Linked DNA regions of Struthio camelus. The protein of the gene in region 3 interacts with the protein of the main gene of each other region in a pairwise test. Links are inferred from orthologs where the notes say so. Each region holds a gene or a part of one and is shown on either strand. Other genes may lie near its edges. The genes, in order: TXNDC9, EIF4E2, MYOG and CLUAP1.

What was found.
Region 1: the proteins of MYOG (region 3) and TXNDC9 interact in binary tests that used the Homo sapiens proteins (3 or more experiments, as listed by UniProt). The two-hybrid records come from large-scale screens. The link is inferred for Struthio camelus from reciprocal best matches to the Homo sapiens genes MYOG and TXNDC9.
Region 2: the proteins of MYOG (region 3) and EIF4E2 interact in binary tests that used the Homo sapiens proteins (3 or more experiments, as listed by UniProt). The two-hybrid records come from large-scale screens. The link is inferred for Struthio camelus from reciprocal best matches to the Homo sapiens genes MYOG and EIF4E2.
Region 4: the proteins of MYOG (region 3) and CLUAP1 interact in binary tests that used the Homo sapiens proteins (3 or more experiments, as listed by UniProt). The two-hybrid records come from large-scale screens. The link is inferred for Struthio camelus from reciprocal best matches to the Homo sapiens genes MYOG and CLUAP1.

The regions. Positions count from the first base shown.
Region 1 is NC_090942.1:151,319,112-151,326,793, forward strand, and holds the start of TXNDC9 (thioredoxin domain-containing protein 9), read right to left. Parts: upstream 3,094-7,682; 5' UTR 2,884-3,093; intron 1,600-2,883; 5' UTR 1,280-1,599; intron 1,051-1,279; exon of another isoform or gene 917-1,050; intron 894-916; exon of another isoform or gene 408-893; intron 228-407; exon of another isoform or gene 43-227; intron 1-42. Other genes in the region: EIF5B (eukaryotic translation initiation factor 5B), read left to right, coding at 3,267-3,301. UniProt on the Homo sapiens protein: Significantly diminishes the chaperonin TCP1 complex ATPase activity, thus negatively impacts protein folding, including that of actin or tubulin.
Region 2 is NC_090950.1:22,233,933-22,241,550, forward strand, and holds the start of EIF4E2 (eukaryotic translation initiation factor 4E type 2), read right to left. Parts: upstream 3,038-7,618; 5' UTR 2,897-3,037; coding exon 2,877-2,896; intron 2,097-2,876; coding exon 1,982-2,096; intron 694-1,981; coding exon 559-693; intron 1-558. Other genes in the region: cytochrome P450 2J5, read right to left, coding at 3,451-3,629, 4,673-4,814, 5,630-5,817, 6,009-6,150, 6,561-6,746. UniProt on the Homo sapiens protein: Recognizes and binds the 7-methylguanosine-containing mRNA cap during an early step in the initiation. Acts as a repressor of translation initiation.
Region 3 is NC_090965.1:3,753,737-3,761,377, forward strand, and holds the start of MYOG (myogenin), read right to left. Parts: upstream 3,080-7,641; 5' UTR 3,029-3,079; coding exon 2,549-3,028; intron 137-2,548; coding exon 55-136; intron 1-54. UniProt on the Homo sapiens protein: Acts as a transcriptional activator that promotes transcription of muscle-specific target genes and plays a role in muscle differentiation, cell cycle exit and muscle atrophy.
Region 4 is NC_090956.1:18,074,534-18,082,003, reverse strand, and holds the start of CLUAP1 (clusterin-associated protein 1), read right to left. Parts: upstream 3,055-7,470; 5' UTR 2,900-3,054; coding exon 2,797-2,899; intron 1-2,796. UniProt on the Homo sapiens protein: Required for cilia biogenesis. Appears to function within the multiple intraflagellar transport complex B (IFT-B). Key regulator of hedgehog signaling.

The DNA.
Region 1 (7,682 bases), on a different chromosome or scaffold from region 3:
GCGAGTAGTAGTCCTCGCTCCACCAGAAAAGGGTGCACTCGCCTGCCCGCCCCGGAGCCCTCTGCGGGCGGGCTGCACTGGGACAGTCCTCGGGGCCGAGACAGGACGCCGGGGGCCCGGCCGGCGCCAGCGGAGGGGAGCAGAGCAGGCCGCGCCGGGGTGTGTGTGTGGAGCGGAGGGGGGAATGCGCAGGCGCCCTGCGCCTCCATGGGGCCGTTACAAACAACGGTGGCCCACCCACCCGGGGCGCGGCCGCCCAGCTCCTGACAAGCTCGCCCCGCCGGCCACAGCGCAGCCTTCCCTCCCCTCTCCTCCGGCCGCCGTGCCGGACCCACCGCCCCCTTCCCGCAGCCCGGCACGAAGGGTCGATGCCCACAAACGCAACCATCGCCGCCGCCGCCACTCACCCCGACCGCTCCGCGCCCGCTGGTGCCGCCCGGCTGCGTGCTCGGCTCGCACACCGGCTCCGCCCCGCCCGAGTCTCGCGAGAGCCAGGAAGGGGGACGCGAGGACAGAGGGCGGACTGTGGCGTGCACGCGCACGCAGAGCTTCCCGACGCTGTCATTGGCTGTGCGACGACGTGCCCCGACCGCCGCCTGCGCCCCGTGCGGGTGCGCATGCGCAGCGCCTTGGGGCGGCCTCTCGCCGCTCTCTACAGAGAAGCGGGGTCGTGTATCCGCCCCTCGGGAGGGACACGCTGGGGCAGAACTTAGCCAGGGGCAGCTTCCCCCCCCCCCCACCAAACCGAAGCTCCTCCTCATAGGGGCTACCTCTCCCGGTACGCACTGCGACTGCCCTCCCTCGGCGGAGTACACCTCCCGGCATGCATTTCCCACCCGTGTCTCGTCCCCCTGGCAACAGCGCCCATCCCGGCATGCACAGCGGCTCTCTCCGCTTTCCCCCTCCCCTTCCCCACCGAGAGGAGACGCGTCTCGGGGTACAGCGCGGCTCCCTTGGCAGGCGGAAGCAGTGATTCTCTAGGCTGCTGGCCTCCAGGCCGCACGCTGCTCTGGGCAGGGCTTTGCCGTGAAGGGGCGTGTCTCCTGGGGCGGGGCGGCCTCGCGCCGGGGCGGTTCGTTGTCTCGCGCCGCGGGGGGGGGAGGGCGGTGTAATGGCGGCGGTGTGCGGGGCCTATTGAAGGGGGAGGCGGGAGGCCGCGTTTCTTCGGGGTTTCATCTCGGGGTGACGGTGACTTTGCTCAGGGCTGGGCGTGTGGGGCGAAGGCGGAGCCGCGGAGGGCGGCGGCGGGGCTGGGCCCCTCGAGCGGCGCTGTGATTACCGGTAAGGGCCGGGCTGGCGACGGGAGGGCTCCGCCAGAGCACTGAGGCGATCTCGGTTAGAAGACGGCTGTGTTTGACTAGCCGGGGCATGTCATGCCTTTGTTCTTCTTGCCAGTACAGCAGACGACTTACCACAGCTAAATAATGAGCTATTAAAATGTGTAAAAAAAAAAAAAGTGTTTTGCTTCCTTGTTTCCTGGATCTCTGGATTCGTCAGAACTGGAGCATGTTGATGATGAAAGATAAGGCGGAAAGATAAACTTCTGGTCTTATCTGTAGTCCACTGTGGCTAAGGGTGAGAGATGGCGATGAGCTGTAGCTGTATAAAGGGAGAAGGAAGTAGGAAGCAAGGATTTTAGGGAGTAAGGCAAGGTAAAGGTCCTGAGACTGAAAGATGAAGAGTGAGGCTTGTTCGGGCCAAAAAAGGAAAAACTACTACCATTACTGGATAATGACAATAACAAAAATGTGCCACTCTCAGAGTGTATTAGATGGCTCCATGTCTGTGATTACTGCAACAGATTGGTGGTCTTTCTGCTCCATCTTGCTTTGCTATTGAGGAGTTAGGCCAGGAAGAGAGGGGGTTGCAACTGGGAGCCCCTGTATCATAATATACACATTGGTTTTAATATTTGTTTGAATTTACTGATCTTCTAATGCACAAGTGGTACTCCAGACTCTCTTGTAAGAGAGTGCAGCACCATTTTAGTTCTAGTGCTATCAAGTGTTTTGGCAGGAAGGAGGAAGAGCTTTGTACAACGAGAACGAAGGCAGGAAACATCGTTCTGCTGGTGTGGTCTCGCCGCCATATCTCCCCGGGCTGGAACCTCTGTCCCTGGCACTGCTGTTGACTTGGTTTCTCTGAAGCTGAGCTTGACAGTCAGTTTGCCTTTGTGCTGAGCTGTGAAACCTAACTGCGCCTACTCTGACCCTCATTTTGGCTGGAGGCCAGTCACCACAGTATCAGATGGTGGACTTTAGTTGTTTACAGTTCAGCTCTGGTGCGGGGAAGTGGCAGGGATCAGGGACGGGCAGAGCTCTGCAGAAGGCTGGGAAAGAACAGCTTGCGTTTAGAGAGAAAGGGTAATAATTATACCAGGCAGTGTCCATGAACATGCCTCACACTAGAATTATCATCCAGTAAGTGGCCCCCATATGCTGTCCCAGCACACCCTAAAAGCTTTCCACTTAATCTCCCTGCTTTTTCGGTCTGACCTAGCTGTCCTGTTTACCCCCAGATAAAAGCTTTCCGACCATGTTCCTTTTATCTGGGCCGTTCAGTCGGTTTTCACGGCCAGCCAGGACAGTCCTGTGAGGCCTTGTGGGCCTCAGGGCAGCCCTCTGGGGAGACAGCAGGGCGTCGGGGAAATTGCAAAGCCGGGGCATTACTCAAGTCATTCTCCGGGGCCGTCGGAAGACCAAAATGGTTGAAAACGAAACCAGTTTCGAGAAGCCAGTGCCTGCGAAGCCCCCAAAACAGGCGCAAGCAGCCGGCAGCCCGCAGGGCGTGAGGCGACCGCCCGGGCCTCTCTTCCTGCCGGCACCGGCCCTTGACAACACCCTCTTGGCGCCTCCGGGGCACCCCCCGGCCCGGACTCCTTACCGGCAGCCGCCTCTCGGGGCCCGAGTGCGGCACCTCCGCCCCGGGCCGGGCCGGGTTAGGTACCGGTACCGGTACCGGTACCCGCACCCGCCGGCCCGCGCGGGGCCGCCGGCTCCCACCTCCGGCCGGCGGGGGCGCTGGCGCGCGGAGCGAGGGGGAGGGAGGGAGGGCGGCGCGGTGCCGGCGGCCGCTCGTCGCGTGCCGGCGCGCGGCAGGCCGGGAGGGCGCGCGGGGCGGGGGCAGCCAGGGCGCCTGCGCGCCGCGCGGCGTGGGGCGGGCTGAGGGAGGCGGCTCGGCATATGCCCGGCGCTGCGCGCGGGTGCGGGCGGCCGGCCGGCGCGCGCGGGGGCCGGTGACGAGCGTGGGGAGCCGCCGCCGCCGCCATGGGCAAGAAGCAGAAGAACAAGAGCGAGGACAGGTGTGGCGGGGCCCTTTCCCCCCTCCCCTCCCCCTTCTTCTTTTTTCCTCCTCCCGGGCCGGTGACAGCGGCGCGGGGCCGGCGCTGCGGCGCTGAGTCAGGCCCCGCCGGGGCTCGCGGCCTCGCTCGAGGCGGCGCCGCGCCGGCCGTTGGCGCTGCCGGGCGCGGCGGTGCCCCTCGCCCAGGCCCTAGCGCCGGCCAGCGGCCCGAGCCGCGCGTGAGGGCTCGCCGGGCAGAGTAGGCCCGGGCGGCCGGGGCCGGGGGGGAGGGGACCGGCGGCCGTTGGGGCCGCCGCTGGCGTCGCTGGGGCGGCCGAGGGGAAGGAGGGTGGCTGACGCCGGCGTGGCCCCTGAGTAGTGGTGACTGCCGGCTCGTCGGCTGCTGCGCTGCCTTTGAAGAGGTGCCTCCCTGGGTGTTAGTCGCTTTCCGAGGATTTTATGCGGGAGCATGTGGTGGCGAACGCGGTTTTCGAGCGCAGGTTCCAGACGCTAGCTTAAAAACAGCTCCTTGATTCAGTTTTAGCCCCCCAGATCTGTTTGTTTGTTTATTTGTTTGTTTTGTTTTTTTAATGGGACCAAATACTGTAGATTACACTGTATCTTTGCGCTTTCCGTGTGTTTAATAAGTGCAGGTGGTAGTAATATTTCGCAATCACAGAAATATCTTAAGAGGATCTCCTCTACAGCTGTGAGCATGTTGCCTTGGAGATGGTCCTGTCAGTTCACTTTTTATTTTTTTTCCCAAGATTTTTATAAAGGCAGTCATATTTACCATATGGATCACTGCTGACTGAATCATGTTGCGTATGTACAAATTAGTAGGTTAGTGCACATTGTTACTTGTCATTATAATACTACAAATATGTACTCAATTTACAAAGTGTTTTTAGTTCTGAATACTGACAGGGAGTTAAATGAGAAACTCTTAAAATATGTATAGATTAGAAACAGTTTGTATGTGTTTTTTTCTCTTCTTACCCCAGCTGCTCATTCTGTGTGTCCTTCTTAACTCAATAAGTGTGTTTTTTTTTTTTAAGTGCCCAAAGAAGCTTCTTTCACGAACTTGTGTTTTTTGTGGTTTCTGCCCCTCTCCTTTTTCTATTTGAAGTATGGCTGCCTGTTGTTAGTGTTTTTAAAAAAAACTGTATTTTTTATTTCTTCTCTCTAAGCATTTTTGACTGTCTAGATGTATATTGCATTAAAACATTAAGAGAAATGTTAGTTTAAGCTAAGGTTATCCTTCTCCAGGTTAGAATGTAAACTGTTCTACTTTTTTCTGGTCTATCTTTCTGGATAATGACTGTTTTGCTAGTGAAGATCTATCTGGTCTGACTCTTCTTCTCCCAGCTTTTGCTGTACCATATGTTACTTTGTAGTATATACTGTTATCAGCTTGTCTCACTAGCTGTACTGCACGGGCGTACCTTGGGAATGACTCTGGGTGAGGAGATGAGTCAGGTGTGATTTGAGAAAGAAGAGGAAGAGCTTGGATTTTTGCCCTATAAAGGAAGGGAGGCCTAGTGCTGCTCTTCACATCTGATAGAGAAGATGCCACTATTGTGCAGACACAGAAATGCTGCTGTTCGGGGCACTTCCCCTGCACACCAACTGCTATCATTGGAAACTTCTGGGGTGTTAGTGCCTACCAGATTTCTTGTTTTCATCCTGTATTTCTCTGTGCATCTGTAGATTACTGGGCAGGAGCCTCTCTTGGCTATTATACTCTCTTATTTGTGGGCAAAGAGGAAGCACACCTTATAAGTAAAGCCAAACGTTTATTGTTAGGATAATTGAAATCTTAAGGATGTAATCGTTATTAGTCCGAATGTAGTTGATACAGATCAAGAAAGAGTAACAATGCAATTTAAATTGCATTATACACACTTTTTAGTTCTGTTCCTTTTCCTGGTGTTATACTCCTCCTTCCACTGCTCTCTGGGTTTGAAGGTTGATGGTTTCGTTCTGGTGGAGATGGCATGTTATGGCAAGTTGTCAGTGTCTGGAGTCCTTCATTGAGAGGAATATGATTGTTTGTGTTGATGAATTCTTCCTCCCTCTCGGCTCCACTTAGGATCACTTTTATATGTTTGCTTATGTACTTTTACACCTTTGTTCTTTGGTCTGCAGCTCTGCATTACATCCATATTTACTATACATGGTGCCTTTTACATGTTAAATACTATTTCTTTGTTCCGTTTGTTACCCCTAAAAGCAGTTTTGTCCAGCTCCAGGTCTGCATTTCTTTAACTGACCGTTGGTGAGTTGTTTATAGCTGTAGGGTCACCAGTGCCAGCCTGCGCCCCAGCTCTTATCGTGGCATGCCTGTACTCCTCTGCTGCATCCTGTGTCTCCACTTCTCAAGGCCTCTGCTATCATACCAGGCCTGTATTTCTTTACGCTACATCATTCTATCAGAATTGTAAATATCTTATTCTACATAGAATAATTGCTTGTTACTGCTTTCTATATGAAACTAAGGTTGTACCATACCAGGATAAACAACAATAAAACAAATGAAGCATATACACCTGGTCAGTTACAGAAATTGCTGTTACAGCTAAATCAGGCAAAACAAAGTTGCAGGCAGGTCAAGGAGAGTTCAGATAAAGCAAACCTGACAAGCTTAGGTATTGAGGCCTTGTAAACTCAGTATGAAGCTTATGTCCTGTTACTGGTAATGGCAATACCATATTACAGGGCTACATGGTTATGTGGTAGTGGGAGGGATAATGTGGAATAAGAATTCACAGGTGTGTATTTGAGAAGGACGGGAAAGTTAGACTTGGCGTGTTTTACAAGAAGGAGTTTGGGAATGAGGAAGGACCTAGAAGCCCAGTGATATTTTGGAATATCTCGCTATCTGCAAAGGTGCCCTCCTCATTTTATGATGCAAGACTGGTCTACTAGTTCACCTTTTTTTGTCTTTATTTTTTGTCTGCCTCTTGCCTGTCCTCCACCCCCAGCTCCCCCTGCCTTTGAATGTTAGGCTCCCTCTAAGGAGAGGATGTATCACACAGTTGAACCTGTAGCTTTGAGTTGGCCTTCCACATTCCCCATCGGTCCCTATTCTGTTCCTAGCAGAGTGAGAAAGGAATGACGTTGTGGAATTAAATGCTTCCAATCATGCTTTGTCTCCTACAATTTCAATTTTTTTTTTTACTGTGCTGAGTTAATAATTTCCTCTTTCCTCCCTTTTCCCCAGCAGCTTTGTTTTAGCTGCAATCCCTTATATTCCTTTTGGCTGCTTCTCCCAAAACATGCAAAGCTCAAGGGCATAATTTACAGTACAGAAGCAGCATGTAGGAAGATGCAGGTGGTATGTTGCCCATGTTGTGAATATGGGTTTGAAAACTGAGGTGAAAGGAAGGAGGTCTTTCTGCTTTTCTCCTGGTGCATAGAGACAAGTCACAGAAGGTACAAGTCATCTTTACTCTGCTTCTCCCCCGGCCCACCCCTTTGCTTTGACTTCTGTTTTCTAGTTATTTCTGCTGAATGAAGTAGGGGTCGTTATGCTAAATATTGATAAATGTAAATACATAGGGAGAAGACCCTGAGGGAGATGACTGCTATAGTGATCAGGGAAAGAATGGGAATGTAGGACTGTTGCCTGTTATCAATATATATTACTAGATGAACAAATATACTTATCAACCTGTTTCTAATATACCAGTGCCCCTGCTGTTATGCTCCTATGAGACTTTATTGTTGACTCCTGTCACTTCTTGGTTGTGCATGCGTTCATAAAGAACGCATTTATCCAGAATGTCAGAATTACGGTCACAGTAGGAAAAACTGTGGGGTGCATTACAGAGGCCCTTTCAAAGGTGAAGGGTGTCCTGGATGGTAAGAGGCTGCTCTTACACCATATGGAAGTTGCCTTAATTGACAACTTGGAATTTTTATGGTTGTGTTGATTGTTCATTTTCAAATGGAACTTCATAGCAAACGTTTTCAATAAAATAGAAGACATCTGAATATCCAGGCTTTCCTAGAGGAAGAGTGGGTGTTCTGATGTGTAATCTAGTTCCTGCTGGGAGTGGTGCACTAATGCTTTGGTTCTTGGAGAGCTGTAACATCAGAAGGTACGCCAAGGTTCTCCCATGCTGTTTTTGTGGAAGTTTGATACAGTGTTTTTTAAATGTGTGGGAAGAAGGACTATTGTAAACTACTGGACTGTGCTTTGAATTCAAGCCTCAGACTGTTGCTGTATGCTTACAAGTAGATGTACTGTATGCTACAAATTACTTCCTGCCTAGGATCTGAATCTTTCAGATTGATGTTCTTAGCTTTTTATGGGTTCTCTTCCCTTCTCCCAGCTTTGAGTCTTCTTCCTCTTCTCCTCTTAGCTCTCTTTAGTTTCCAGTACTTAAGCTTTAGGTGCA
Region 2 (7,618 bases), on a different chromosome or scaffold from region 3:
GGGAGGGGAAGGGACAGCTGTTTGCCTTCAAATAAACTTCACTGCAACACCAAACCACACCTCAATCACTTTCAGACAGCTAAAGGACACAAGACCATCAGCCACTTTTACGTATAGCAGACCAGACGCCTGTTCCAAATATACCGTTTGTGGTGGAGATACAGACAAAAAACAGGCTGTACAACTACACAGCATTCAAATTCCACACACAGAAAAAGCTGTTCCCTTCTTCTCTTTGCTTACCCGCCAAGTTCCGCTCCAGCTATCCAATTTAAGCTAAACAGGAGTTCTTTTCACTTGCTATTATTATTCCAGCTTCCACCATTACTGCAGGCACTGATGTCTATCTAGCACAGGGCAAAGGAGAACTGCTTTAGACATGTCACCTGCTGCAGGCAATTCAAAATCTCACCTGTAAAATCGTGGCACATCACTTTCTCTCCTCTGCCCAACACGAAGAGCAGAGCATGCACGTGCATATCCCTAACAAAGAGGAGTTAAGCCAGCCAAGACAACCACACCATGCCCAGGTGACAAGAACAACAGGAACATACTCACTGAGGCAAAGGTGCCAATCTGTTTGATGTTCTGTTCATAACTCTGCGAGCTTGTAGGCCTCCCAGGTGTTCGTCTGGAGTACCAAAAAGTGTAATTATACTGCAGGGGGTGCTCAGCTGGCCCTGGGACAACAGCCTGCAGAACAGAAAAGCTTGCTTATTCCTTATTCACTCCTCTAGAAGGGGAATGGGAAAAGTAACATCCAGGGCATCAGTGGTCTACATATTCCCGCCCCTACCGAGTGTAAAACAAACAACTCATCCTCATTTTCATAGAAAAATACCATCTCTGTTAACTATCTGGCATGGACCATTAGGTTAACAGCAGCTGACTCTATTTCAAAAGAATAATAGAAATTTGCAGTACAGGGATGGCTAAGGAAGTAACAAAACTTATGCTTGAGGGAGTGTCACGCAAAGTAACCCTCATCATAATTAAAGACAGTATTACTAAGTTTTTGTTTTAGTCCTTGACTGTGAGTTTCTCAAAGGAAACAGATAGACCAACTAAAGGGGCAGTAGAAGAGCTTAATTTTTTTAATTAAGGAAAAAGAAAAAGCCATTCTCATTCCCTGAGAAGAGCAAAGCCCATTTACACTGAATCATGATCCAAAAGCAATTATAACTCCCTGGTGACAGCAGCTCCCCCAAGCAACCAACACCCTAAGACTCTGGAAGGATTAGTCTGTCTCAAAACTTGTTATGTCAGCTTTGGCAGAACCCACTGCTAACAGTAGGTAGCGATCACTTTCCAGTCTCCATCCACTTGCAATAAAAAGGTTTCTAAAGAGCATAAAATGGGTAGATGAGAAGTCCTTACCCTAGAGTCGCAAGTGCCAGGAGAAAAAAAAAAAAAAAAACCCAAAACACCAAAAACCCATCACCTTGCATCACTTGATATTGTTACAAGAGCAAGTAGGGTTTAAATCCCTACTCTCCACTAGCCTACAGCAAGTTTATAAGGATTGTATTACTTCAGAGAGTACAGTCTTCCTAAGCACAAGATAAAAAACAGGATGGGTATTTGCCTTCCTAACTAGGCTACTTTACCCTCATACAGATCCCGTCTTAAGGATTATTTCAACAATGGCAAAAAAGCATAGCTTGGAAAGCCAACTGCAAGTCACTACTCAGTCAGTCAGTCAGTCAGTCATTCCCCCTTCCTCTCCCCACTTCCCCATTCAAAAGCCGGCCAGAGCATTAGCTGCGTTTGTGAAAGGAGCATTCACCCCTCAGATCATATACCCCGAATGCTATGTCAAGTTAAACAAATGCTAACACAGCCCCCCATCTTCATTACAGCAGTAACAGTATACAAAGTGACCATAGCACACTAAGACGTGTTCTTCTTATCCCCGCACTGAGAACACTCTAGCGTTCCACCATCACGCCCTAGTGACAGAACACAGGTGCCAGCCCCTTACCTTCCTCTTGGTACTACTCTGTGGTTTCTCTCGATCATTCTTTTCCTTCTCACTGTCTTTCTGTGTGTTGTTCTCCTCGTTCTGGTCATGATCTCCACTATCATCATCCTTCAAACTGGTTAATGAAATAAAGAATGAATGACAGTCCTGTACGTCACAATCGAGAAGCCTCATCAGCCCCTGCTTCTAAGCTCCTATGTCACACAAGAGCCACCCGCGCTTGGAAAGCTACACTTGACAACCTACACAGTGAAAACTACGGATGGGATTTGTCATGCCCAGAGCCCATCACAAGCACCTTAGGTACACACTTTTAAGCAGAAGCCTGCAACAAAATGCCTTTTTAGGACAAAGTCAAGCACTTCATAACGGACAGAGATCTGCTGCACAAAAACCTGACTGCTTGGGAGGCAAACAAGGCGACCACCCACCGCAGTTTTGCTGACTCTCAGCCACCCAGCTCTCCCCGCCCCTAAGCCTAGCGGAGACTGTCCCCCGGGCGGGCAGACACCACGCCGGCACCCTGCGCCCCACAGGTCTCGCCGCCCGCCCCCTTCCCTGCGAAGGGCCGGAAAAGAGGAGAGAGAAGTGGGGCCAGAAGGCGGACCCCCTCGTCGCGAGCAAGGCCCTATGCCGCCAGACCCACCCACCCCCCCCGAGCCCGCTCTCCTCAGGACCGGGCGGGAGCCCCGGGGCCGGGCCGGGCCGTCCTGAGGGGGCAGAACGGGGCTGTGCGAAGCCCGGTGACTCATCGCGTCCCGCCCCAACGGCGCCGGGGCAGCGCCGCCGCTGGGGGGGGGGGGAAGCCCCGGGGCGGGCTGGGGGGCAGGGGAGACCGCACAGCCCCCCGGGCCGGCGGTAGCGGCGGTCGGGGACGGCCCCGCCGCCGACTCACGCGTCGAATTTGTTGTTCATCGTCGCTCGCTGCCGCCACCTCCGTCCACCTCAGCGACTTCCGCTCTGCCGAGTCCTCCCTCCAAAACCTTCCTCCACTTCCGACGGCAGGGCGGCTCCGACACAGAGTCGCGCTTTCCCCCGGCGACATAAGCGCAGAGCACAACGGAAGGAACTAAGGGAGGGGCAAAAGGAAGGGGCTTCCCCCCCCCCCCCTTCCACCATCTTGAGTGCTGACTCTCTCGCGACTCGGGAGGGGCGCCATCTTGAATGCGTGCAGAACCGCCGCCATCTTGAGCGCGGCGAGCGCGGGCAGAGCCGCCATGCTGGGAGTGGCACGAGTCGGGCGTGCCGCCAAAGGCGGGTGGCGCCCTGCCCTCGGCGAGGCCGCCCAGTGCGGAGAGACACAGGCCGAGGGGTTCAGGTAGCTTCCCCGTTTTATTCATACTGTTCAGTTGTCTCTGGTGGATAAAGGGTGACCATATGTCACCTAAAACTCCCGGCTAGCTCCTGTGGTGACAGGGCGGCCCTCAGCCAGACAGCCTGCGCCCATCCCTTCTTCTTCCCCTCAGCGTCTAGCGAGGGATGGCGCAGGTCTTGTACGGGTGCGGCTGGAGGATGAACCCCACGATGGGCCGGTCATCGGCTTCCTTCACTCCCTCCGGCAGCCGGAAGGTGAAGGCCCGCAGCAGGCTGCTGAAGCTGATGAAGAGGTTCATCCTGGCCAGCCCTTCCCCCAAACACACGCGGTGGCCTGCGGAGCGAGGAGAATGTGTCATGCGTGGGCTTCACCCCCGCGTAGGCAAGAGCACATCTCTGCTGTGAAGCCCAGAAGAACAGGAGAGATTTGCAGTCCCTACGTGTAGCCACTTACTGCGGTATGAAAGCAGAGAAGTGCTCTAGATCTGTTAACACTCATCTTGGGGCACCCTGTGAACAGAGCTGCTGAGATCTACAGCCCCTTCCAACGTCTACGGTCGCTGTATTTCTCTAGTGTCTCTCACCTGAGACATGGATAGCGTCCGAGATGGGAAGAGGAGAGAAAAAATATACCAGTAAAACCCTGCAATGCCTGATGTGTTAGGAGAGGTTAATGGACAGTTCATAGAGGGCAGGGAGATAATCCCTCCTTCAGCTTCCCCTCACACTACATGAGAAGAGAAGACATTGCCCCATGAGAAGAGAATCTTCTCATAGCTTTTTACAAACCTCTGCCCAATAATTTCTGCTATCCAGCAGAATTAATGATCAGATTTCTGACCAAAGTACTTTCTGTTTCTCCACCAACTTACGACATGGATAGAGTCAGAGAAAATCCTTAACCTGTAGATCAGGAATGTGCGTTCTAAAAATTGTTCATATGTAGATGCTGTTCATAAATAAACCTGATATGCAGCAGCTTCATCTGCTGGCCTCTTGGTGTCCACTGATATCAATATTGGTAGAGATTTCCAGTATCTTCCAGGAGCCAGTTCTTAATTAGTAAACAGACTTCTATCCCCTGCTCTCTGAGGGATCTTTAATTTGTCATTTTTTTCCCACGGGACAATCTACCTCATTTCCACAATCGCAGTTCATTTTGTTGAGAATTTCAGACACTAGGTAGTCTTAGTTTTTTTTCCTCAAGAAGGTGAAGCTGCTACCGGTCTCTGAAATCAGCACCTCTGTCTTTTGCTGCATAGACCTTATTATGGGAATGAACAAAAATACTCGTGGCAGATCGAATGTTAGGAAGGTTTTGGCCTGTGAAACAATCACTATAGGAAAGCTGTGAGCAATACTGAGGATTGCTCTCACCTGCAGAAAAGAGCATGAAGGCTTCTCTGCTCACAAAGTTTCCATCCTTGTCCAGGAAATGACCAGGGTTAAACTGTCGAGGAGTCACCCATTGCTCTTTGTCATACAGGACAGAAAATATGTTGGGGAAAATTAAGGTGCCCTACAGAAAGAGAAAATGAACATAAAAGGATCTTTTTCACAAAGTTAGGCACTAATGTCATAAATTGCCAAAGTGCCAATTGCTCTCTTGAAATTGCCCAATGCATGTGCCATCTAATTATTATGGGATGAGAAACACGGTCATGCTAAGCTCTCTCCTGCAGAATAGCTTATTTAGAAATGATTAGGTATTTTCTAACATTGATTCTAGAGCATCAGAGCACAGTATTTTACAAGAAAATTGTGCTTGCAATAATCAGAAACTTTGGAAAAAAATGCTGAATTGAAGGCTTCACAGTCCCAAGACCTCTGACTTTTCATCTTGCTTTTTCAAAGGCATCTTCCCTGAGAGCCACACAGGTCTTGTCCATTGGGAAGACCACCTGTATAAGGTTGGATATGGATCTAAAGCATTCTGCTTATACAATAAGTTGTGTCTATGAACACTATTATTCAAGATTTTCTTTGTTTTTTCTACTTGGCTTTGACTTGCATCAGTTTTAAAGAAGAACAAGATCATTATACTGATATAATTATACTGATCTAACTCCTGAAATCTGGTATAGAAAAACCATTATAAGGAGCATCTTTGCAAAAGGATAGTGAAGCTGAGTAGGAGTTTATTTCTACTGTAGGATGTAGATAATGTCCTGCCTCCTATTCACAATGAAGAGTTTTGCACAAGTTGTTCAAACTCAGCTTTGCCTGGGGCAAAATATAAGCACAACATATGGTGTTAAAAAGGTAAAAAGAATCGATTGCCTTTCTTTGCTTTATCTAAGGATCATACCAAAAAATATTGTGGCTTTAACATACCTTAGTGATAGGGAAGCCTTGTAGAATGGTATCCTGGGTGCACTTGCGCATTACCCCTATGGCACTTATGCTGCTGTAACGCATAATCTCATGCAGAACTGCATTTGTGTACGGCAAGATCACTCGGTCCTTATATTCAATTGCACGAGATGGACCAATGACAGCATCTAATTCTTCTTGGACTCGTTCTGCAGAAGAAAAAGGCTAGTAGTGAGCATTCAGGAAGGCAGTTGATACTTAGGCTCTATGCTGAGACTCAAACAGCCAAAGACATCTTAAACTGCAAAATTTGGGCAGGGGAGACAACTGAATTTTGCTTATTACTCTGCAGTGCGCAAGGACAGTCACAGATGTAAATGCAGGTGCATGCATTTCTCACCTTGTACTTCTGGGTACATCATCATGTAGAGGAGAGCCCAGCATAACGTGATAGTGGTGGTGTCTGAACCCGCTATGAAGAGGTCTGTGATCACTTGCACCATGTTGGTCTCTTTAAACGTAGATGTGGGGTCATCCTTTGTCTTCAGATGTGAGACAATGAATGCAATGTAAAGCAGTTTTAATAGCATAGCACATTTCCAGCAACAGAGCTTTTTGCCTCAGAGGTTCCACAGTGAATTGATGAAGCTGGAAAACTAGCAGCCATATAGATCTGTTAAAAAAAATCTTCCTGAGGACAGCAGTGTACAATACACTTTTTTTCCAGTCGAGAGTAGAGAAACATTACTGTTTCTGTGGTGACTACCAAGGAACATCCTTAGTACTTTGCGAAAATACTTTGCTTTTGAGGGTGAGTTAAAAGAAACATATCCCAACAAATAGACTCTGAGAAGGAAGAAGAGGAGGAGGTAGACATGCAGCTGGAAGTATCTTGGCTACAAGTATTCTAAATATGCTGCAGCTGCACAAAAGACAGTTAGTTATTTGTTACCTTTAACATCTGAGCTAGGTATGCATCAATGAAGTCCCGTGGCTCTCCAGGCACCCAGCTCTCCTGGTGGTTCCTGATCTCATCCTTAATAACTGTACGTAGATCCTGCAGGTGTTTTAATGCCACCAGTGATCTCATTAACACAGGGCTTAAGTGCTTCAACAGTGATGGGAAAGTATCGTAGAGCTGCACATGAAAATACAGGTACAGGGAACACCGTGACATCTTAGCTACTCTTTAAAGCCTAAACGTTCACAGCTGAACCGTGGCTGACCATGGCTATGATCCAGGTATATTATTTGTCAAACTATAGGAAATAAATGACCACTTAATTTTATTTATTATCTATTTTGGAGGAAGAAAGTGTGCAAAGGGTGATCATTAGCATACAGTTACTTTCCAGATTACCTGCTTTCCACTAATACCTTTTAGAGTTGATGGATTTAAATCTGCTACAGTACAGCTTTCCTTATGTTTTCTAAGTGAAGCCTCTCCCTAAATGCCTGTTCCCTCTTACACCTTAAGTCAGCACTTTGCTGTAGTTCTCAAAGCCACAACAATGTTAACTTTCTCTATTTTTTTGAACGGTTTGGAAGGATCCCAATCTAACATAGGAAAAGTAGGCTATTAAAGAACCCTTCGAGGAAAAAGCTAAGAGGAAAAACCTGAGTGTGGCCCCAAGGCAGGCTTGATGCTGAATAATCTTAATATAAAGTCAGATCAATCTGTCGAAAGAGAATTAGTGTGGGAGATTCAATGGGTCTGTGGACAGAGATAGCCATGAATGCTTGTGGAGGAACCATTACTGAGAAAGAATGGAACTGGAGTGCTGTTTTTAGCGGAGTTCAGTATTTCACAGAACCACAGAATCACAGAATGGCTGAGGTTGGAAGGGACCTCTGGAGATCATCTAGTCCAACCCCCTTGCTCAAGCAGGGTCACCTAGAGCATATTTCCCAGGATCGCGTCCAGGTGGGTTTTGAATATCTCCAGGGAAGGAGACTCCACAACCTCTCTGGGCAACCTGTTCCAGTGCTCAGTCACCCTCACAGGAAAGA
Region 3 (7,641 bases):
CCCAGCGAGACTGCAGGACACCGGGACCCTGGGACAACCTGAAGAGGCTCCTACCTGTGGGGTTGCTGCCGAACTCCAGCTGGGTGCTCCACTCGGGGCTGCAGGAGGAGCTGCCAGACCCGCACTCACCAGCCTCCTGCAAGGGTCCAAGATACTCACTGCGGGCATCGCTGCCTCTACCCCCACCCCGGGGCCCACCCATTGCTCTTAGACTTGGCACAGATCCATGAGGAGATGGACTCATCTCTCACCACCCTCCCCGCAAAGCCGCTGGCAGGAGTGGACAAAGCATTCGGGATCCCTGAAACCGATTGCAGCCTGCCACTGGCACTGGGGGGAGCCGGGACAGGCTGTCCCTGCACGAGCGTGGTCCCCGCATGGTGAGCCCATGCCCCTGCCTGCTTCCTCCGAGCACCCCCAGCACCACGGTCCAGCACAACCTGCAGGGATTAACCTTGGGCTCAAGGCTGCTGGCAGCGGTTTGCTCTTAGAAAGGGAGAAAAGGGACATCTTTTTGCTTGGTTAACAACCAAAAAGGCTGAGAAACTTTTTGGGGAGTTCTGGGAACTGTGGTTAACGAGTGAAAAATGCTGCCGTTGGCTCACTACAGGTGAAAAAGTGTCTTTTCATGCAATGACCAGGAGAAAGGGATGGAGATGGACGCCTGTCCTTGGGCAAAACAGCCTTTTACTGAAAAAAATCACCTAATCAGGTTAACAGAGCTGTCATACGGGCTGGAACTCCTCTGACGATCACAAGGGGGATTTCTGGGGAGCAGATATTTTGATTTTGGTATTTTGATTTGTGGGTTTTGGGTCAAATGGATGTTTCACTGGGAAGTGACAACCTAAAAAATGAGACAGTTACTCAGTAAAGTGCTGGATTAACTTTTTTTGTCTCCATCTCTCAGTCTCAGAGTGGATGTTTATTGGCCTGCGTTGAGCCTGAAATGCAATTTTGCATTGCAGCAACCCCAAAGCACTGCCATTTGTAGCAGGGATACAAAATCACTGCCGCATCAACTCTGGGAGGAAAATGGAGGTAGATATCGCACCTAGATAGAGCTAGTCCACAGTAACCCACTGCTGGGGAGCTAGCTGGCAAACCTCCAAATTTTGGGTCGCTAGCGTATCTTGACTGCCGACGTGGAGAGAGAAAAACGACCGCAGCTTGTCTCTGCAAGGCTTTTGCACTGAATTGAAATTTCACACCGCACGTGAACATTAGGCTAGGTGGCTGGTTGGGCTTTCCGTTTTGTAGGGAAACAAAGTGAAATAAAGTCCATCTGCAGCAGGATGAGAAAATGATTTTCACTTCGGTTTGTTTCTCACTAAAATAGGAGATTCATGCAGATATGATTTTTTTGTTTTGGCCAAAAATATTGGATTTCACACTCATTACGTGAATTATCTGTTTCTCCCTAGGTCACAGCTGGAGAAGGAGACCGCAAGGAGGAGCAGTTACGCAGGAACTGCTCAGCATGGGTCGTATTTTAGGCAAGCACTTTGCATCAATACGTTTGCAGGGACAGCAGAAAAATCCAAGCGAATCAAATCAACATGAATATATATAGCTTGGGTGTATACTGGGAAGTCCTAAGAATTTTTTATAGTGATGCCTAAGACTGTTTTCAGGCCTTTACGCAGCCCCTAAATGTACTGTACTGGGCTACCCTGATATCCGATTATTTTTCCCTTAAATCCCTTGGTACTGGATCAGATGAATCTCTGGGAATCCCAATTTTCCATGCCTCTTATAAAGTCCATTTGTCACCCTTAGGGCATTAGGGAAAAGCATGCCCACATATTCCCCCCCCCAGGAATCAGAGGGTAGATTAAAAATGCCCCCCCTCCCCCAAATCTGGTTAAACCACCAAAATCTCGTGATTTTAAGGGCCCTGGCTTACAGTATGTGTCTGCTTGGGGCCAACAGCCCCGAGGGCAAGACACGGCCTCTGCAAGCATCCCCATCCGGCTCTCAAACTGGCATTTTCGGTCCAAGAAATGTGTTCGGCAGGTGGCTCCGCTCCAGCCCCCCCACCCTTTCACCCTGCCCCCTGCTCGGGACACGCCACAATGGCCATTGAGGGTATTTTATTTTATTTTATTTTATTTATACCTTTATTAGCTCTAGTGAGTGAGGGCACATGTGCCACGCTCTGTACAGTATCCAGCACTGGACACGCAGCCTACTCTACATACATATATAAATATGTATGTGTGTTTATAGGGAAAGAGAGCTATAGATCTGCTTTGACTGGGGATACAAGAGCATGGCTTGGGCTGGATCATTGCTGCCTCGTGCAGGGCATATCTGCCAGCTTGTGGTCACATTGTCTACCTCAGCTCTGCTGTCCCGAGGGCTGGAGGGTCCAGGTCCCGCTCCCACCAGAGGCAGGGCTGGGTCTGCTGCCTCTGGGTCCCTGTCCCCATGCTCTGGCACCGGCTGCGGTGCCTCTTTCTGGGACCACTACCCAGGCCGGTGGTGGCCTTAGCCCAAGGCTGGGGACCCCAGGGTCACGCACCCCAGGGTGAGCAGAGGTACTTACCCCTGGCTGGGTGGCCGTGCCGCGGAAGCGCAGGTCCCTCTGCTCCCGCTCCTGCTGGTTGAGGGTGCTGAGCAGGGTCTGGAGACGCTCGATGTACTGGATGGCGCTGCGCAGGATCTCCACCTTGGGCAGCCGCTGGTTGGGGTTGAGCAAAGTGCTCCGTTTCAGGGCCTCAAAGGCCTCGTTCACCTTTTTTAACCTGCGCTTCTCCCGCAGGGTGGCCGCCCGGCGCCGATCTATGGAGACCGTCTTCCGCTTGCAGATCTTGCAGGCCCAGGGCAGGCATTGCCCCGGGCAGTGCTCAGGCAGGGCTGAGTCCTTCTCCTCCATGCCCACCCTGCCCTCAGCACACAGGGCCACGTCGGCCCGCTCCGGGAAAGCCGCTGGCTCATAGCCCTGCAAGCGGGAGCCCAGGAAGTTTTCCCCGTCGTAAAACCTTTGGTCTGGGAAAAAGTAGGGGTTGGTCTCGAAGAGCTCCATGGACGGGCAGGCAGCGGGGAGACGTGTGCACGGCTTGGGGATGGCTGCTCCGTCTCCTCACACCAACTGGTTGGTGCCATTTAAACCCCGGCGCTGGCATTAAATCACGGAGATAAATATAGAAAACCTAAAGGAAACCTGAGCCTGCCCTAAGCTGCTGCCTCACATCAAAACTTGTCCATCTGATTTCATGTGCTCTCCCTGCAGGGATTACGCTGCCCGGGCCAGGCTGCGGCCGTGCCGGGGAGGAGGGGGAGCCCGGGGAAGCTGGCACGTCGGGAAAAGCAACTCGGCCGCCCTGTGAACAAGGGCTTCGTTTGAGCCCTTTGGGTGCCGCCGTGGATGGCGGGTGGTCGTGGGGCTGCCAGCTCCGTCCCGCATTCCTGCATCATCTGGTCCTTTCAGTTACCCAGGGCTGGCACAGCTCGGCTAGGGGAGAGCAGCACCCGGGTGGCTCCAGTCCACCCTGGGGCAGATGGCCCCACATCAGCCTCAGCCTCATGGGATCCTGCTGGATCCCTGCTTCCGGGGTCCCAGCCCCTTCCCCGAGCAGCCCAGCCACGAGCACTGCGAGCAAGGCAGCACCCATCCCCGTGCCCATCCGCCTCACTGCACCCCAAAGTGTCGCTCCACTCCGTGCCGCCCTCCTGCCCCAGGCTTCGACAAGGCTGGGCTTTTCCCTCTGTCCCTGGGAGGAAGAGGCACTGCAGGCAGGTGAGAGCAGCCGGGAGGGCTCAGTGGTGAGTTTGGGGCAAATCCTTCCTCTGCCATAGTCTTCCCAAAGGTCCCTGGCTGAGTCATAGCCCAGACATAGAGCAGCGTTTTAGGCATGAAATTCCTTTTCTTCCAGGGCTCTTAGAGGGCACCAAAACCAAAGAACACCATCTCCTGCTTGTCCCAGGACCCTCTATCTGGCCAAGCTTGGAAGATGAACCAGGCCTGGTCCTGGTCGCCTCCCATCCTGACACTGTCCTTCCTCCACCATCACTAATCTAAGCTAGCCTCCAGTGCTAGGTGCTGGACGTGTGTATAGCAAAAGCCCCTGCCCAGATGCCAAGGCAATCCTGCCATACCTGTCTTTCCTGGCAGAGGCACATCATTCCCACCTTGCCAATGGGAAAAACGAAGGCACAACAACGGGCCCTGTAAGACCAAGAGCAGAGTTGGGATTTTAACCTATTCCCTGTCCTCCTTGCTGACTCCAGCCTCTGGACTCCTCTGGACTGTGTCTCTCCAGCTTTGTCTTTAATTCAGAGGAGTTTTTTCCACTGGGAACAGAAGAAACCATCTCCTATCTCCTCCTATTCCTGCTCCAGGCCAAATTCCAGCTGAGGGATTGGTCAGTGGAAAGAATGTCAGCAAAGAGAAGGGCAAAACGTGATGAGATTTTCCTTCCCCAAATCCCCTTCCCCGGGGAGGCCATGCCACATTGCATTCCCCCGGCCCGCCTGCTTGCACCCTCAGTGACTTTGGGTTGATTACTGGCCCTTTTGAACCTGTTCTCAATAAAGGGAGGGCTCTGACCAAGGACTGGCCATTTGCCAGCGCCAACCACTGCCAGGCAGCATCTTGTCAGCTCCTAAAAATGGGTTGCCTAGGGAGCCTGTGCTGGGGGTCAACCACCACCCAAGCCAAGTGCAATCTTTCCTACCTCCACCAAGGGCTTTCCCCTCGCGCCCAGTCCGCTCAAAGCCCCCCAAGTCTGGCTAGTCCAGCATGGACAGGTGAACGGGAATGCCCACTACAAACCCTCCTACCTGCTTGGTCTCATGGCAGTGATTTCTTTGGGCCTAAGAACCTTAAAATGTGACCTACACCCACTTTCAGCTCTCTTGAGGTCTCAGCAACAGGGATTTGCCATCCAATGGAGAGCATTGGGGTCCTGTCGGGGTTTGGACTGAAGGACCGAGCTCTGCACACCATGGGTCTGGGGGACATCATATCCACAAGGATTTCTTAGCCTATGCTTTTACAGCTATAAATTACTGGAACTGCAGGAACTGCAGCATCGAGTTCAGCCTGGCCTCAGTGTAAACCTTGCAGTCGCTGGCATCAAGTAAAATCCCTTAAATATACAAGAAGGAAAGAAACCAAAGCTCCAGCCTGGCCCATGCATTAGGTAAAAGCAGTAAAACAGTGATGTCCCTGAAAGTTTGCGAAGATGTTGGCTGGGCTGCAGTGACGTTACACTACAATAGTCAGGGACAACTGCGGGCACAAAGCTGTGACAAGAGGATAACCTGTACCCAAGAGCTTTACATAACTAGCTGAGAAGAAATTTACCTTGCTCATGTGGACCTTTATCGTTGGGAATTGCTGATGGATGCAATCTTGAGCTCCTCCAGCTCAACCCTGGCTCCCTGGTGAAGGGAAGCCCGTAGGACCACTCAGGCTTTGCTATATAGATGGATTTTTTTTTTAAATTGAGATGGTGTGTTTGGAGGATAAAGAAACCAGCAGTGACATAACAGGCTTAGAGGTCTGTGGGACATGTGGCAGGCCCATACAACAGACCCGTCAAGCATTTAGCACTTCATAAAATGGGGGCAGCATCACTTGAGCAGGTGCTGGCACTTGCAGTGGGCTTTCCCCAGCAAGGCAGGGAGCGGGGCAAGAAGTGGGCTGAGTGTGGCCCCGATGCACCAGCCGTATCTCCTTTTAGCTCCTGGTGGAAGGTTCCTCATGGCTGAGCAAGCGGCGGCACCAGGAGGCAACCTGCAAGCATCAGTCCCCAGAGATGGGGTGGAAAGACCACCAGTAAGAGACCAGTGAGTCCCAGCAGGGGGGCCTGGGAAGTAGGATCCCGCACTGGGAGAGGAGCCCAGAGGGCTGGAGTCAGCCCAGCTCCTTTCGGGTGTCTGATGCAGGTCGTTCCCAGCAATACAGGGATCCAGGATAACACTGTGCTCACCCCACCACACAGCTGCTCCTCCATCTGAGGTGCCGTTGAGACCCTCTTTGCTGAGGTGAGACCTATTCCTGGACGCAGTGCAAGGATATAGCCAGGTCTGGGGTTCCTGAGCCCAGTGAGCACATGCATCCACACCACTGGGCAAGTGGGTGTCTTCCCTTCTCCAAGGCACCGAGGGACCCCCAGGGTCCAGGCTCTCTGGGCACTCCCTTGCTAGCCAACAGCAGCCTGGGCACCCAGGATATCACTGCTGCTGGGCCACAGGATGGCCAGAGCAGGGAGGCTTTTCCCGGGGCTCATTGCTGCCCACGCTTGCTGCAGGCTGCGCCCTGGGTAATTCGGAGCTGGCCAGGGGATTAGGGCTCTGCTGTCTGCTGTCAGGTTAGCCCGTGATGGATGGTCGCGGCTGGGACGCACACAAAGGAGACGCTGTGAGCGCGCCAGTGAGAACGTGTTGCGATCTGTCACGGGGTGACCTTCCCCCGGTAAAAGGGGGGAGGACTCAAGGGCCTTGTGACAGTGTCCCGCACGTTTGGAGCCGGCGGGGAAAAGCAGCCACGAGGCCAAAGCTGAGCCCCAGGCTAAAAATACCAGTTCATTGAGAAAAACCCCAACGAGGAAGGTTTGTCCTTGCTCCTTGGGGTCTGCTCTCCCTGTCCTGGCTCTCGTGCCACAGCTGGGGCCATGGCTCTCCACAGGTCTGAGGACAAGGATGCAGGGCAGCCCCTTGAGGCTTGCTTTTCTGCATTTCAGCAGAGCCCACAAGCACATCCCCATCCAGCGCGTGGTGCTGCATGCGCAGGCGCTGTGCGGGAGGGCTAATGGCAGCTGGTGTGTTTAGTGCCAGTCAGCTCCTTCCACTGGAAAGGGCAGAAAAAGCAGTAAGATTTTGGGATTGGAAGCAAACCGGGTCATGGAGATAGCCTGGATACCCCGAAGGCCATGGGCAACGCTCCCAGGAAGAAAGACAGTGGGGATGGGTTTTGAGCAGGAGACATGATCCAGCAAAGAGACCATCCCGCTGAATAGCAGGGAGGATTTCTGAGCAGGAAAGGAGTCTCCTGAAAAAGCCATTTCCTCTGGCCAACATGCAAGGAAAGTTTCCCCAGCGCTGGGACCAACCGGGGACCAACCACTCATCGCCCCGCGCACCCCACTGCCCTATGTCCCTTCTTGCTTTCCAGGCTTGCCGCCATCCCTTCCTGCCGCAGTGACAAGTCATAACATATTTGGGAGCAGCTGCAGGCAGCTCAGGGATGCTTGGCCCTCTCCCCGCTCCCCCGCGGCCCAGGCGAGGAATGCAGAGCAGACCTCTCCTTGGACACCCGGGATTTCCGACGTGCCTGCTCACCGCAGATTTGGGATGGCGACAGCTGCTCGGCCGCGATGGGGCCACAGCAGCCGGCGACCCGCGCTCAGAGCCTGCCCTGCGGCGAGCTGGGAGCCACAGGCATCGCGTGGCCAGGTCCCAACCTGCCGGGGATTCAGGACTGTTTTTAGGTCTGCTTGTGGGTAGTGATGGGGGACTGTCTCCTGCTCTCCATCACTGGCTTGGAGGTGAACAGTGGTGGCAGGAGCAGCCAGCAGCCCCTTCCTGACCCATATCTGCCAGTTTTCCCAGTTTGGGTTCTCCACTGGGCTGGGAGAGCAATCAGAGAGGGTTTGTGCAGTGCCGTGCACAAGCCCCATGAGGGCTGAGCTT
Region 4 (7,470 bases), on a different chromosome or scaffold from region 3:
TTAATCTTTCCCTGTGTCAGTCCCTTCAGCCTTCTGAACTCTTGTCACCATCCTTTTATTTATTTTTAAACAGATCTACCATTCTTCTCCTAGGCTGTTTTTTGGGGAGGGCTTTGCTATTACACCTTTCTAGCCAAATTCTTACTTCCTACATTATAGTACCTTGCAGATTACCCTCTTCACAAGATTTTTCTCCCAGTAACAGAGAATAATGTTTAATGGAAAGTTGCTATTTCATGCTGTTCCCATGGGGCAGACTTTTACTTTGAGTCAGGTTGACCTTGGCCGTGCTTGGGATACACATCTGGGCTTATGGACACAGTAGGTAGATGAGGGCCTCTGGCCAGTTATGAAGACAGGACTCATTCCAGCTTATACACAGCCTGAAGGAGTAGCAGTGGTGCCCCTGCAAGATAATTGGAATGGAGATTTTGATGCCTTAAAATCCAGAATGAAACTGTGCTCAGCAGCCAGGTGAGCCATGCCTGCAGGACAGTTTGGAGAGAGGGAGCGTGAGGGCACGGAGTGACAGTGCTGCAGTGGCCACAGACACCTTCCCAGGGGACAGGCTGAGACATAGGAGGGTGAAAAAAACTATGTCTCATGCTGAGACACTCACCTGTAACCCTGCTTCTGCTATGTGCCTAAAGCAATGGCTCCAGTATATGCATGGTGCAAAGTACTAAACCGTTAGTCTTTCGCTGTCCCACCACCTGCTTTCCCATGTATTAGAAAAGCCAGCAAGATTTGATTTTGCCTCCTAAATATGCAGAATAAAAAAGTTTCATGCTTTCCCCACTTGTTTCTGGTACCGTCTTACCTGGTCATTCTTGCACTGCAAATTCAGTCCTTCATCCTAGGGATGGGGCGACTGTAGGTCTTGGCATTGCTAGGACATACTCTGTTGTTGAAAATCTGATCAAGTAAGAGCAAGTAATTTTTATTCTTACTTTCCTGATGTTTTTAAATCAGGCAGAGAAAAACCTTGAGATGATTAGGCATTCCTGAGATTTCTCAAGCACCGAATAACAGAACAAACTCATCTGTGCTGTCCCTGTTGGGAGAATAGGGTAAAAAAAGCCTCCAGCTTCATTTATGCCCCAAGAGACCCTAGCATGAAGTCACTGTACTCTTTAATTTACTTGTCTAAGTCACCTTTTAGACAACAGGGTCTTCTTGATGCTTGAGAATACTTCTGCTGGGTCATTTCCCAAGCTACGTTAGATAAATGCTGTAGGAGAACATCAGCTTTACAGACAGAGCCTTTATAGCTTGAGAGATTCGGAAGAGAGTCTGCCAGAAAAATTCACTCCCCAGAGAGGGGCCGATGCCAGAAAAAGCATGGTATGAAAGTGTAAAGTTTCCATTTGGTTGCTATATGCAAGAGTCCTATAGATGCTTCACGCTCGGTCTTTTGCATCCACTTCCTAATGTCTAACTTGCAAGTAAAAGCCTTCTGCTCCTCAACTCAGAGCCTCCCTCGTTACCCAGCCGGGACAGATCAGTTTTCACCTAAAGGCTGTTTTCTGTCTTTCGCTGCAACATTCACTGCCCCCGTCCACACCGTCAGAGGTTTGTTTGCCCCCGAGGGCTGGCTTGGCACACAGCCGGCTTGCAGACTCCTTGGTGTTAACATTGCAGTTGCAAGAGCAGCCCTCTTCCTTCCCACCTTCCTTGCCACTTTATTTAACATTACCCTCACTGCAGAAGCGAGAGAGGAAATTAACTGCTACTTCCAGCTGCAACAATACGGTGCAGACCCAGAGAAGTGGAAGTGGCTTAGGGTCCCTGGTGGAAGCCTGAAGTGCCATGTGGGCTGAGGAACCCAGGGGAATCTGCAGCCTTTGTGTTCGGTGAAGGAAAACATGCAGGAATGTCACGTTTCCTGTAATTACATTGCACAGCAGCTCCCTGCCTGCTAATGCGCTGGCATTAAAGAGAGCGCTGAGAGCGGAGTGCAATGCCCAGGATAACAAGCAGCCCATGTATCAAGTGGAAGGGGTAATACATCAACAGCCACTGCTTGATCACTCAGCAGATAAGCAAACAAAGCTACTGAGGGTGAAAAAGCATCTCCAAGCAAGTAGATTTCCAGATCTATCTCAGACTTCACCTGACAGGCCAGGAGAAGAGACTAAGCACTCATTTGTATGCAGTGAAAAGCAAGATTGCTTTTCCCCTCTCTGCTAGCTCTCCTCTAAGCTAAGCACCACCTGGCCTGCCTGAAGCCAGCCAGAAGTGCTTATCTACCCCCATCCTCCTGGTTCTGGGGTGTCCAGCTTAAGATGACACAGCACAACTGGATTTATAGAGGTATGGGGACCCCTCGCGTCTCTGGGAGCTGGAAGTTCAGATCACCTTCCCTAGGAGCGTTGTTTGCTCTTGAAAACTTTTGGGGTGTTTTCCTGCAGAGTCAGCATTTAGGCTCTCGACATGCAAGGGGGAAGGGTACGGAGAGCAACCAGCCAACACGAGCACAGCCTTAATCGAACCTCGTCACAGACAGAGAGTCAAAGTAAGCTTGGAATAACCCTATCACCAATTATTGATTTGGCCTTTGAGATGGGGCTCACCAAGCAAAACACAGTGCTTTCCCAGCTGAGCAATACATGCCCCATAAAGAACAAGGGTGAAGTAAGCCCTACTGGGCAAGGCCTTCTTCTCTGAGCTCTGGTCTTCCTGGCACAGCTACATTAGTGAAACTAACTGCAATCATAACTGAGGAATCACCATCAGAACTAAGGACACAAGTAACTGGAAGTGAGCTCTTCCTGTATTATCCTATAGATTCATTACCTGTGGAGTTGCAGCAAGGCTTTTGCTGCCGAGGTGCCGTCTTTGCCCTGTTGGCACCCTGAGCATGCCTTTCCCTCCTCCTTCGCTCGTGGGCTGCTCCCATCGCTGCTGCCAGGGGCCGGGTTTCTCGCAGTAGAGCCCAAAGGGAAAAGCAGAAGTAATATTAGCATTTAAACAGTGAGCAGCTGCTTCAGCTTACTGCCTTTTACACTGTCAGGAGAAGAAACAGCTTGCTTCAAATCATTTCAGATTTGTCAAATTGCATTGAAAGTCCTGAAATGCCTCTCTGCCTGCGCAGCCGAGCGGAGCAGCTGAGCCCTGCGAGGGCAAGTTCCCGTCGTCGGGGCATCGCTTACCCGTGCTGCAAGCGCAGGAGCCCTTTCCTCAAGCTTTTGATTGTCGCTGCCTTCTGGGCGCCGTCAAAAGATGCTTTCAGGCCAAAAAGACAGAGGGAGCTTGGTGATGGGCAGCAGGAGAAGGGCTGGGTGAGTGCCGAGGGGACGCACGGGCAGCGCTGTGCTGAGCGTGCACCAGCGTCACAAGCGGGTCGCCATGCGGCCGAAAGCTCCAGGCCCTGCTCGCACCTTGGTCCGAGCCGATCCAATCCCTGGGACACTGCCCCAAAACCCTCAGCCTGGTGGGGAGGACACTTCTTTAGGAAGGAAGCTGGGTTTGTCTTCTGTACCCCAATCTGCTTATACATCAAGCAGTCATCAGCAATTGTACAGCTTATACATCAAGCAGTTAAACCAAAGCGCCTCCACAACTCTTGTCTCATGGGAGAAGTCAGGGTCTTGGATAAATAGACCTCAGCTCTGAGCCAGTCTGGCAGTTTTATGTCCCCGTAGCAGCAGAAACCTGTGATCTCAGCAGCAGAATTAAGTGTTGCTCTGTCAAGAGGTCAGGGCAGCTGGTTTAGGTTCAATACAACTGAAAATAGGTTTGTGACAAGAAAACATTTTAAGTAAAAATAATGAAATAGAGGAGAGACTCGGAGCAGAGGACAGGACGTGGCAGGAGCTGCAAGGAGGCGTTGGGGAGGATCGTTGGGGTGCGGCACGGGCAGCATTAGCGTGCAGCATGGGCGCAGCGGGGCGAAGGGCCCCTAACAGACCCTTGCGGAGAGACCGGACAGACCAGCACAGCTCTTAGGCTGGCAGAAGGAAACCCGCGTTCACCCGTCTTGTTCAGGTCCGCACAATGCTGGCACGCTCAGGACCACCGAGAAGCACCATCACCTCACCCCGGTTGGGTGCTTTGCATTGCCAGGGCACAGAGGTAAAGCAGAGGCAGCTCCTGCTGAGCCACCTCGAGGTTATCACCTCCTGGCTGACAGGTTCCCCCAAGAGCTTCCTGTTCTCCTTTGCCGGCTCCTGAAGATGCTCCTCTCCTCCTTGTGCAGGTCGCAGCGCCCTGAAGTCCCATATCTCGTAGCTGGATCAAGCCCCCATACTGTCCTTCAGAGGCTGAAAGCTCAAGGCGTAGGGGGCTCCCTTTGGGTCTTCCCCATGGATTAGCTCTCTGCTCAGAAATTCAGGAGAGACAGAACAGGTGAAAAAAAGCAGAAATGGGAACTAGCTTTTCAGTGTTTTGTGATCCAAATAATGCCAGCACCTTCACACAGGCAGGTAACCATGGCTGAGGAGAGGCTTTGGACTGCTGAGTCCTCCTGCAGGATCCTGCCTCTCAGCTTACAGCAAAGCCAGTGGGATTACAGTGCCCAGCATCCCTCGCCCCTCGAGGAGCGCAGCTAGGCCCAAAGCACAGGAACACTATTGCGAGAAGAGACGGACGATAGCCGGACCTCATCTGGAAATAAACCCAGCTCCGTCCCCTATATCCTTTCTGGTAGCTACCTTTTTCTATTGCAAAAATACATTCAACTGTGAAATTGAGCTTAGAGGAAGCTATTCCTCGTAGATAAATTCAGCAACATTTTTAGGAGCTGTCTTTGCTCTGGCTGTGTCATATGCCTCTGTCCGAGTTGTACGATGGATGTAAGGAGACCTTATAACCTTCCTGCTGTTGAAGCAGAAGCTATTGCACTGAAGATATTATGGGATTTGGGGAATTATTATGCCCCTTGGCTAGGTAACGAGGATCTAAGGCTCCCTGGGCAAGTGATAGATTGCTTCCTCTGCAGGCTGGGAGCCCTCATAGGCTTTTAAGCTGTTAGAAGATCTCTGGTCACATCAAAAAATTTGGGCTGAGAATGTCTGTGCCTCTTTATGAGAGGAGGCAATACGTACATCCGGAGATCGCTCTCTACTGAAGCTCCAGGAAACACACCAACACAACCAGCTCAGGTTTCATTAGCTAAAACAGAAGCAAATACTCCTCAAAACCTAGTCCAAAACTTATTGAATCACATGAAGATAGCCTCCTGGGTGGAAAAGCTGCAGAGCAGGAGCCTGGGATCATTCCTACTTACCCCTCATCAGCAGAGAGGTTTGCTAATGTCCCATCACTGCATGTTGGCACTCCGCTGGAGCGTGGAAATCTGAGTCAACGCACAGCGTCTGGTGCTAGTGAGGGCCAGGAGAAAGGAGCCCAGGCCAGCTCACAGGACCCAGGCTGCATCTATGAGGCTGAGAGCTAAAGATATTCTGTGTCCTCCTACATGGAAGCAAAGCTCCTGGAAGATACATGATACTGAGACAAAAAAGCGCATTGAGTCCATACCGCTGCACCTGGAGATTTTCCCTACAACAGGAGAAATCAGAGTGAACAGAAAAGGAGAAAACCAGGGAACTATGGAGCATCAACTTTTTATACTAATTAATTGGCCTTTCTATGATCAGAGGCCGAGTCGTGCAAAAGCAGCTCTGACTAATACGTCAGAATCAAAGGGGCCATTTGCAGCCCAGCCCACAGCATCTATTAATAGCTATAGAGACATACACTCCAAAACAGCATTTTTAAGGATTTTGTACATTCCCCAAAAAATCCAGTGCCAAAGAGAGCCCAATGAACAATAGCACGTGCCAAGTTGCCCAGATTCTCTGTGTTCAAGCCTCAAGGGACAATGGGGTGCAGGAGGCCATGCTTAAGCAGGGTAGTCATCTCCCCACAAACGGCAAGAGAAAGAGAAGCACGGTGAACAGCAGCCTCCGTTAACATCGTAACAGAGACCAGCGTCAAACCTTCCCAGCCTACCAGCTAATTGGGAGCTACTGTGTTCATATATGCCACAAACTGGTAAGAAGGGAAGAAGCCAGCGAGTCTGACTTCGCTTTCCCCAGAGCAAGGAAAAGGGGTGCGTTTTCACAGCAAGCACCATTAAACTAAACAGCCCAGTGTCCTGCAAAATGGTAACGGGCACACTGGACCCTTGCAAACCTGTGGGCTCAGGACAATTCCCTCACAGGGATGTTGGAGAAGATGCATCTTGACACGCAGAGCACAGGAGCAGTAGCTAGGCTTTGGGGACTGTCACTCCTGCCCCGTGACACAACGCAGGGCACGTGCAGGCTCAGCACCTCCCTTTCTCCAACTAAAACATATTGCTTATCACAAGGAGGGTTGTCATCCTTGTTATCGTCTCCTTAAAGCCCTTTGGATCTGCCGGTGAGAGGTGCTAAGGAGAGGTAAAGCGCTCCTCTAACTCAGCCGGTCTGAGGGACTCCAGTGTCTCACTAGAGCATTAGTGAGTCATGCAGATTACAATCCTGGGGAAAAACACATTTTCTTCCATCTTATTATACAACAAATTGTCAAGAGACCCAACTCGATACAGCTGAGAGGCTAGGAAGGACTCAGAATACACTCTAAAACAAGGCAGCCTCTTCAGTCACTATTTATTTGTCTCTGTTTTGCAAAGAGAGATGTCAAAGTCATATAAAACTTCAACACCCTCCGAAGTGGTTGAGCCATGAGAGCGCAGGGAAGCGAGGACGGGGCTTGCCGCGCTGCCGCGGCTTCAAGAGCCTGTGCCAGCTCCCCTTGGGGAACGCGATTACCTCTGAGCACGGCTGCTCCAGCGCAGCTTCTTCTGCCAGCCGCTACAGGCTAAGAAAGCCCAGACAAACCACTTGGGGTATTAGTGCCGGTAGAATAAAAATAAACACAGCCCGGCTCGCACAGAGAGGCTGAGGGAGAGGCGTGTTTCAGGGACAAGCGCTCCCGGTTTTACAAGCACGTATCCCGTGCACGGCTTGCCCTAACGCAGCAGCCCATGCAGCCTGCCCACCTCTCGCTCCTCCGCTTCCGCAGCGAGGCTTCAGGAATGGCCCCAGGCCACACCACAGGGAGGGAGGAGACAGGCTGCAGGAGCCCACATGCCTTTCGAGCAGGATTGGTCCTCTTATTCCCTAGAGCAATAGCAAATATACATGTTAGCCAGCAGTGAATGAGACCTTTCAAGCTACTCAGCTTTCCTGCAAAGGATTTTCTGGAGAATAAGCTACCCCCTTGTTCCTCTTCCCCAATCTACCACCCATCCCTCCAGAGATCGCATAAATAGTCCCAGCAAAGTCAGTGGAACGAGCTGATGAAGATGCCCTTAAGAGATCACACCTGTGTTAGCCCAGCCCATTACCCAGCCTGAGCTTAACGGTAGATTAGCTGTCGTTTCACCTGGAGCGGGGTCAGGAGAGACAGAGGTTAAAGATAACGGTTCATTGCTAAGCCCAGGGTGGCTGCAGCAATATATATCTGGGCATACGCGCTGGCATT